2 linked regions of the Drosophila melanogaster genome follow. The gene in region 2 interacts genetically with the main gene of each other region. Each region holds a gene or a part of one and is shown on either strand. Other genes may lie near its edges. The genes, in order: rec and hdm.

Region 1 (5,098 bases), on a different chromosome or scaffold from region 2:
ACAGAACCCAGAAGGATTCCTTTATCGGAGATCGTCAATTCACCGAATTCTACACGTCGTCCTTTATGAACTTCGGTAGCTATTTCTGTGGAGTCCTGGCCGCTTTGGTTTACGATCAGTTGGCATTGAAGCAATACAAACTACGGGAGTTAAAGAGCTTCCAGCTTCTTTGGTTTACACTTATTCCAGTGGGGATTCTATGGCTGTTTAGTGCTCATCCCATCTTCCAGCACTACTACGTGACGCCGTCGGCCATTTGGGGAGCATTATATGCCGGCCTGCAGCGAAACATCTGGGGCTTCGGGCTGGGAATCTTCATCGTGGGCATGGCCAGCAAAGTGGGATGTAAGTATCAACTGCGAGATATGCTTGGTATATCCTTGGCAAATCTTACTGTTCTTTCACAGGGATTTTCCGTAAGTTCTGCTGCTTGCCCATTTTCCGCATTTTGGGACGCCTCACTTATGGAGCCTTTATCGTCCACCTTCTTGTGGCGAGAATCGTCTTGGCCACAGTGCGGGAGCCCATTTATTTTGGCACGGGCATGATGGTGAGCTCACTTCTGGCATTCAATAGGAATTGGATTTTATGTAACTCAAATTGTTCTCATCTTATCTACAGTTTGCTTTCATCTTTTTTACGGTGACCGTGTCCTATCTCTGCTCCTTCTTGCTGGCCATCTTTCTGGAGCTTCCCGTCTCCTCCTTCCTCAAGCTTATGAGGTAGCCCAATGTCCTAACTTAAAGATTACTTATAACTAGAATAAAAGACATAACTTAATTAAATCCGTCACCAAAAAATTTCACTTACCCTGCGCCAATCTGGCTGGAAACGTCTTCATCGAGATTGCAGCTTCCTTTGAGCTCAAGGAAGTAACGCAGAACAGCATTGCTGGCGTCCTCGTTTAGGACCGGATTTAATTCCTGGCGAGCATAGGACAAGAACTTCTTAATCAGTATGGGTGGGAGCAGGTCCAAGTCCCCCTCCTCCGGAAGTACCTCCAGACGTTTGTCAAGATCATAATCCTGCTGCATAATGCTGTCATTATCGTCCTCCGTTTTGATTGTGTCATCATCTTTTCCCGCTGCCGGCACATTAAGGCTGACCTCGCACATGGAGTCGCTCATTTTGGGCTTAAGAGCATAGCGGGCTGCAATTCTCGCTCGTTTCCTAGCGCCCGCATGGAGAGCCCTTACGTGGGCAGTCAGCGACATATCTCTCTCCGAGGGCTTGTCCAATAATATGTAAACCAAATGGAACTCCCGCAGCAAAGAGGGTGAAATATTAATATTCTGTAGAAGGTAGCGCCCCTCATCGTATTGTCCTCTTTGTGGATTTGCGCACGCTATCACCGAAGGTTGCGCCGGGAATGAGGCAAATGCTCCTGCAAGTGGAAGATTTACTTCCTCTGATTGTAGGCACTGCAACAGTACGGCCTGCTTGGAGGCAAGTTTATCCACATCATCGAGGGTGCAGTGACCGCCTCCACTGGCCATCATCAAGGAACCCGCTTGTAGCACACGCTTGTTACGCCCAGCAAACGTAACACCCAGTTGCTGTGCGGATTGAGCCCCACGTTTTCCACTCACGTGGGCACCACGTTCAGCGATCTGAGCACAACTTTGCAGAATCTTGGTCTTTCCAATTCCGGGATCACCCACCAGGAGCACGTTGATGGCTTCAGTCTCCGCACCTTTCCCGCCGAGAAGGGATAGTAAACAGGCGGCTTTGGGTAGCTCATGTCCGTATACCTCCGGGGCAATGGATTGCACCAGTAGCTTAAAGCTGTTGGGTTCCGCATTGATCATGACAATCGCTTCCAAGTCACGTTCGCTGAACTCCCGCTTGATGCTGCTCGCATCGCGAATGCTGACTGCCTTGAGATAGGGCTGCATCTGGTTGGAGGTGTCTCCAGTGGTGGTATCGTCGCCCAATTCCTGCAGCTTAAGGATGCCAGTTACCACGACCTCCTGTCCGACACGCACAGCATCAACTAGATCATGTCGCAGCTCCACGTCCATTTCAGCAGGCATGCTGGTCTCAAAGTCGTGGACCAAGTTCAAACTGGACTCCTCCACGCGGATAATCTGTCGGATTGAAAGCCTGGTGTATGGGGAACTGCGAAGAGGCACGAATTCGTCACGAGCCACACACTCCGACCGCTTGCATTGATAAGGACGTGGCTGGAAGGTTCCCCGTTGGCGCATGGCAATCTCCATCTGGCAGCGACTGCAGCGAAAGGCTTGCCACGTGAGGCTGTAGCTAGGCTCGCCCACATTGCTCACAAAACCCCGGATGGAAAACAAAGTGTCCACTCGGGAATGGCTTATTCCTTCTATTGATTCCACAGGCACAAAATCATCCGGTCGTGCGTAGATCTTGCGTACCCGTGGGGTTGGAAGGACGTACTGTTCCGGAGTGGACACCATAGCTGTGGTGGAATCATTACAGTCCAGCTGGTGATTGACGACCACAGTGTGCATAGCCAACGACAGGGTTCCTAGCGTGCGAAGCGGGTGCTCACGGATGTCTTCGGACAAACTAGGCCAAACCTCCTTTAGCTGGGCATCTGATTTGATGCCTGCTGCGCAGAGGGGGAAGAATCCCCGATCCCGTATCATCACAAAATCGAAGGTGTGAGGATTACGTTGGTAGTATGCCTCCACGGCCATTATCCTTGTGGCCAGTTCGTTGCCCTCCTCGTATTTCTCGCGCAAGAAGTACAGTCGCCAGCCGGAATAAGCCCGTGGATTATCCACCGCAATGCTCTGCACCTGGAGCCCGTCTTCTGGTGCGGCATAGTTTTCCGGCCGCAGAAAGCTGCAGTCCAAGTGAGCATTGCGTCCTCGCTTGCCGGCTGTGCGGCTCCAGCCCCTGGGTTGCCGAGTTGCAGGCGGAACAGAAGGAGCGTCTGGTGCTCCAGGTTCCCCTTGGTTGGGTTGTCGATTGCCTCCGGCTGGGATCACACGTCCATTGCGCCGAAAGTAGAAGTACGGACGGTAGGCTCCGCCTCCGCGACCACGACCACGCACAAATCGCGATGGGGCGCCCCCCCGGGAAAGCGTTGGATTCATTTCAGCTGGGGAAAGTTTACAAATTTGCCCGCTTTTAAATAGAGATGATACCTATATTACAAATGACATGAAATATCGATAACGATCTTTGGCTAAGATATTGAACCCTTAACGATTTTATATTTAAACTTATAAATCGATGTAATAAAATTATTTTGGAATTATTTCGGCGGACACTTGTGATATCTTCGATTCTTGCTTCAGTATGCTCAGCTGGGCGGGAAGGTAGTGTTCAAATACACCCGATAGCTTCGACTTGACCTCACGAAATGTTTCCAACACTTTTATCTCCTCGTTCTCATCAGTGGGCTGCACGGCCTTTAGTTCATGTAGTAATTCGGTGCAGCCGTCGAGGAGCATCACCTGCTTCAGGTGAAGCTTAAGCAGCTCCTGCTGAATTGTCTTGATGCACTGGATTTGTTGGTCCATGCGCAGTGGAATCGTGGAAAGAGCCAACATTTGCTCCATATGCTTTTTATCCTTCACGAACATTTTAGCAGCACTTTCCATGGCTTCAGCAGGTTTTGCTTCAATCTCCTTGGGATCTTTGTGCTTTTTATCCTCCACGATCGTTTTATGAATAATTTCCATGTTTTCAGCAGGTTTTGCTTCAATCTCCTTGGGATCTTTAATGCACGGAGCTTCCGTCTCGGTTTTAGCTGGAATCTGTAAGGGAAATTAGGGCTTACTAACTAACTAGCCTTAGAAATTGACAGCTATCGCCTTTTTTTTTGGTTATCTACAGCTTTGTATTTATTTATTTTTTTTTTTACCATTTTGTTCTCTGCTGAAAAGTTTTAGAGACCGTATGCAACCAATGATAAAACTGAATAGCAGATCGAATACTAAGTCAAAGCCTCCTTTTAATAAGAAACTCATAGTTTTTTACAGAACATTCAGAGCGATCTAGGGTTCTGGTTTCTGGTCACCTTTTTTCGGGAAAAGTGAACTCAGATTGACGGGACAGTTGTCCAGGCGGGCCAGTTGCTTAACCATGTCATCCAGGAGCAGGCTGTTCCGCTCGTCGGAACCCTGGATGAGCCCGTAGGCCTCTGCGTTGGCGATTCGGTGCTGCAGAAGCGGCATGTAGGGTCCATTGAAATGCGGCTGTCCATTGGCCAATTCCGGCGGAGGCTTAGCAGTGGGAATAAAGTCCGTTTCCGACTTTGGGGACCGGCAAGTCGGCTGGTTTGGCCGAAACTTTGGAGTCCTATAGCCCAACTTTCGCTTCTTTTCCGCCTGCAAGTGATTTTCGCTCACGTCGTCGGACTCGTAATGATGGTTATAAAACCGGATGCCGTATATTGCGGGCTTTGGCTAAATTAGGTAGATTTATCTTTAGATAAATTAATATTTTGTGTTATAGATAGTGTTGATGGTTAGAAACTGAGACATATCTCCAAATCTCCAATACTCACAGCTCTCTTGCGCTCCTCATCGTAGCCATCGTCATCCGAATCATCATCCTGTTCATCATTGTCCATTTCAATGGGAATCCGGTCACTGGTCACCGGCACCTGGGGCACGAATTCTGAGGCACTTGCTCGGAGTCCATTAGGGGAGACCGCGGTCGGCGGAGAAGCAGAAGCCGAAGTCGGAGGAGTAACGGCTGGAGTCACCTCATTGCTCATGGACTCTAGTTCCAGACATAAACGTTTGTAGGCCATCGTGGTTCTTTCCAAGTGGTTGAGATCCAATTTGCCAGCGATATGGGCAACGTTCTGGAGGAATTTTTTACTTTCATCCATAAAGAGCGAAGTCACAATCAAATTCCTTTGTGGATGGCGCAAACATTAAAAATTTTAAACATTTAACACAAACTTGATTTGTTTAGCATTCGATGTTTCGATTCGATTTCTGACAGAAAATCTGGAACTGTCAAACATATTTAAATTGGTTGATGTACAACAATTTATAAAAAAATATTAATAACGAACTAAAAAACTTGTAGTATTTAATGGAATTGTCCACAATTTTAAAAATTTAGCTCAGTGTGACCATTTCGGTCGCGACTTATCGGTCTT
Region 2 (4,285 bases):
GTATTCTTTTTCGAATTTGTATTAAAATGATTCAATTGTTGCACATCGATAACCATCAATTAAAAATTGTATTTGAAATTTCCTAATTGACCAAAATTGGTAATGGTATCAAATAATCTTAAAGACTAAGCGTTGATTGAGGCTGTCTTAAAAAACAGAACGTTTGATAACACAATAAAACAGTCGCAAGTCAGGACTTTAAAGAAGCATTAATCCTTAAGCATTTGTGGTTATCCAAATGCATTTTGATACCATGTTAAAACACACAACTCGAAATTACAACATTTAGAATTGACCCAAAATCAGTTTTGTGGACCTGAAACGCCCCGTAGACACCCACCCACCACCACCACGACCCAAAGACACCGGCACCTTCTGTAACACTAGGCAAAATGACACTTAGATGATTCATCCCCAATGAGCCAAACGTATCCCACTTAGGACCCACATTAAGAGTTTCGAGGCGCTTTCAATCTATTTATGTATTGCAGTTGTACACTTTTATGTGAAAATGCGAAATAAAGATCGCTATTTATGTAGATGGTTCACCAGTATTTTGATGGGACCACCCCACATACACTTAGAAAACGACCATATTTGCGACAAGCTTTTCCAGGGGAATGGCTTGCATGTCGACGACCACAATGACGAGATGATTGCGCACTCCCACCGGCTTTTTGATCATCAATCTTACCTCGAAGTATTTCAGCAGAAAGCGCCACTTTAGCTCGCTTTTCTCGCGCTCCGCCAGTCGCTCGAAGTCTTCAGCCCGAAGTCCCAGGATACGTTCTGCCGGATGTCCAGCTAACCGGGCTTCGACGAGAGTGCCGGTCTGGTCGGACAAATGAATGTTGATATTGAAGTAGCTAATGGATCGTGGTTCATCATTGTCCAATGAAAAATACTGCTGGCAGGCGTCCGAGGCGCAATCTTGCAGGTTCCGTGGTATATGTTGTTGACAGGCAATGCTGTAAAATAAAAGGGCTTTTAAGAATATGTCTTGTAAACTATGTAACGGATAGTGGGAAGCGTTTCGGCGGTTAGGAAGGGATGGGGATGTACAACACCCACCACTTCCTGTTGACGTGGGAGGTCAATCCATCCAAGTCGAACTTGGTGACCATCCCATACAGCACTGCAGTAAACTGATGTATGGACGGATCCTGCAGTTCGCCCTCGGCGCGTGAATATATCTGTCTTACCGTCATCTGCGCCTGAATGCTGGCAACTGAAAGAGTTATAGTAAATAATAATACTGCATTAATTATCCTTTACTCACCTGCAGGCATGTTGTCCAGCTCTGCCTGGTCACAGCCACTAAAAGTTGTTAGAGGCACAGTGGCGGCGAAAGCTAGCAAGAGACGGCAATCATCTCCAGCCGCCTGAGGATTTTCGCAAATAAGTGTGCAATTGGAATGGGAGAGGACGAGAGAACGATGAAAGTTCGAGTAGGAAACACGCACGTCGATCAAATGAAGGACAGTGCGACGTGGCTGCCATTGCTGGGCACGTTGTATCCAGTCGGGTTGCCAAACGGAGAGCAGCATACCTTCCGGATAGCTGGCATCGATCACGATTACTTCCAAGCACTGTAGCAGCTCCTGGACCTCACTTAGTGGCCCCTGCAGCTTTCGCTTTATCTGACGCACTGGACGCACTGCAGCCACTACTACCAGTAGATTCACATTGGTGGTGATTATCTTATCGGGAAATCCCAAGCCGGAACGCACATCCGCCAGCTTAAGGACCGCACCAAGTGGCCTTATGGGCTGATGGAGTAACTGCTGGAGAATTGTTATTTGGCCAAAGTCGTCATTGTCGTGGCGCACCACATAGCCGGATCCCTCGTTGACCACCAGGGCGCAGGAGACCGTCGCTTGGGGCTGATAACGCTGTTCTCCCGGAGCAGCAAACGGTATGGACATCACTTTAGCGCCCACAATGTCTACCACATGGCCGATCTGCAGCATGGCCGCGTACTCATCCACACAGTCCCGCTGGCCCCAGCACTTGCAATTGGTCAGGTGATTGGGGGAATCTCGGATGGTCAAGCTGAGAACCCCTCGTTCGGTGCCACTCATCTTGTCATAGAAGATGTTCGGCGAGGATTTGGAGACAATCAGGGCAACGGTGGAGAAACGGGTCATTGTGGGACGCATCTCTGCCAACCGCTGGAACTTAATACGCCTTGCCATTGAAATTATTTAAGAAATCGCGACCAGTCAGATTGCAGTGCTTAAGAAAACCGTTACATTGCCGTTACCGCCGATTAGTAGTTATCGATGTTTGTAGTGATGGTACACCACAAATGGCCGTAGATTCAGTTAGTAACAGAAAGTATTGCTAACAACTTAGTTTGATAAAAACCACAATTAAAACATTTACAGAAAGTTGCGCTTATTAATTGTAACCATTGGAATCGATAATAATCGGATGGCATCCGAATACCAGACGTACCATCCCTAATAAGCTGACACACACTACGCATATGTGCACCCGCGCACACACACACGCACACACAGAGGGGAACGGCACAGATTTACTGCGTTAAACAAACTCACTTGTCGCACTTTTCCACGAATGCCAGTGCGCTGAAAGTGAAACCCATCCGCCGGAGCATAGTAGGATTAGCCAGGACAACCGTTCAGCTCAGTGCCCCAGAAGCATTTAATTGGAGGAGCAACAGTCGAGCAACCCGCGACCCGCAGACCCAGTCTTGGCAGCCCACAGCCACTCAAAATGGTCAAACTATTCGCGTTGAGCATCTTTCACAAGGGCGCCAGCGAGGCGCGTCTCCTGAAGACCGCCTCGGACCTGCAGTCCTTCTCCTTTTTCCAACGTGGCACCGTCAACGAGTTCATGACGTGAGTATGCATGTGGATGCCAAAGAACGGCGCAGGCTCAAAGAGTCATCAATGACGAACACCCCCCTAAACAACTCCTCCTCTTGCAGTTTCGCTTCGAAGACGATTGTGGAGCGCACACAGCCGGCCCTGCGGCAATCGGTGAAACAGGATGCCTACATGTGTCATGTCTATGTGCGGGCGGACAATCTGGCCGGTGTACTGATCGCCGATCATGAGTATCCGCATCGCGTGGCGCACACGCTTATCACAAAGATTCTGGATGACTTTACGGCCAAGGTGTCGGCCGATCAGTGGCCCAATGGCACGGAGGCCACTATCTCATTTGACTTGCTGCCAGCGTTTCTAGCACGCTATCAAAATCCCGTCGAAGCAGATCCGCTGACGAAAATGCAAAACGACCTGGACGAAACGAAGATCATACTGAAGAATACCATCGAGGCGGTGCTGGAGCGGGGCGAGAAGCTGGACGACATGGTCAGCAAGTCGGAGAAATTGTCGCTGCAGAGCAAGGCGTTCTACAAGACGGCGAAAAAGACTAACTCCTGCTGCAGCTTCACCTAGACGACAGCTGCACCTCTCATCACCCCCCACCACACGCTAATCCTCTCAAGCAACAACCACAACAGGAAACACCAGAAAATGCAAATCAAAGACAACACAAAGGATAATGGATAACACGATAACACCAACAAACTACAACCAAACAAACTCCAAGGGAGCGGTGCGACTTGGGCTTTGATGATTGCTTTTTATAAATGAATTAGTTAATTTTATATACTATATATATATATTATATTATATACTGTATGAATAGGATGGCCAGTTGCCAGTTACGATAGTCCGCTAACCCAATGTCTACCTGTCTGTATATGTCTACGCTTTGGATATCTAAATGTTAATTACTACCAATACAGATTACGATCTAAACCCATGTGCTTAACATAATCTTCTCTTCACTTATGTGTTGGCACGGCGGTCCAAAATTGGCCCTTTGCTAGCTATTGATGTTGTGGGCCTTCTTATCGCCTCCACGGCGGATCTATGTATACCAATCGGATCGGAAGGCTGCACCTATGTATACACATGCAGTCGCACTTCCGATCCGGGCAACTGGCGGTCGGAATGTGTGGGCGTTTCAATAAAGAAGTATTATGGGAAATGTGAACCAAGCTCGTTTTCATTGCTCACATATACAAACCTTATCTTTGTCAATTTTGGCAAAATGTACAAACTATTTGTACGAGCTCTGTACATAGCACATGAACTTATTTTTATTTATGTAATACGTACCACTTTATCTTAAGTGCAAATTCCATTCCTCCCAAAAAAGCAAAATCAATTTAAAAGTGATTTTCTGTTGGCGTTTATTTATTATATAGAAGACACCTATTTCGCTTCTTGTAAAGATTTCCGTTACA

What was found.
Region 1: of hdm (region 2) and rec, changing one suppresses a phenotype caused by changing the other (phenotypic suppression), as found in Drosophila melanogaster (one study listed by BioGRID).

What each region holds. Positions count from the first base shown.
Region 1 is NT_033777.3:15,829,544-15,834,641, forward strand, and holds the start of rec (recombination-defective), read right to left. Parts: upstream 3,090-5,098; 5' UTR 3,075-3,089; coding exon 811-3,074; intron 779-810; exon of another isoform or gene 727-778; coding exon of another isoform or gene 622-726; intron 551-621; coding exon of another isoform or gene 408-550; intron 346-407; coding exon of another isoform or gene 5-345; intron 1-4. Other genes in the region: CG4576 (uncharacterized protein), read left to right, coding at 5-345, 408-550, 622-726; CG43318 (uncharacterized protein), read right to left, coding at 3,225-3,740, 3,848-3,850; CG43317 (uncharacterized protein), read right to left, coding at 3,981-4,391, 4,493-4,822. UniProt on the Drosophila melanogaster protein: Required for meiotic DNA recombination in females. Probably not involved in DNA repair and recombination in somatic cells.
Region 2 is NC_004354.4:7,917,937-7,922,221, forward strand, and holds hdm (hold'em), read right to left. Parts: upstream 2,196-4,285; coding exon 1,280-2,195; intron 1,229-1,279; coding exon 1,072-1,228; intron 969-1,071; coding exon 581-968; downstream 1-580. Other genes in the region: YKT6 v-SNARE, read left to right, coding at 2,740-2,864, 2,954-3,428. UniProt on the Drosophila melanogaster protein: Single-stranded DNA-binding protein required for meiosis. May be involved in the resolution of recombination intermediates into crossovers in the meiotic recombination pathway.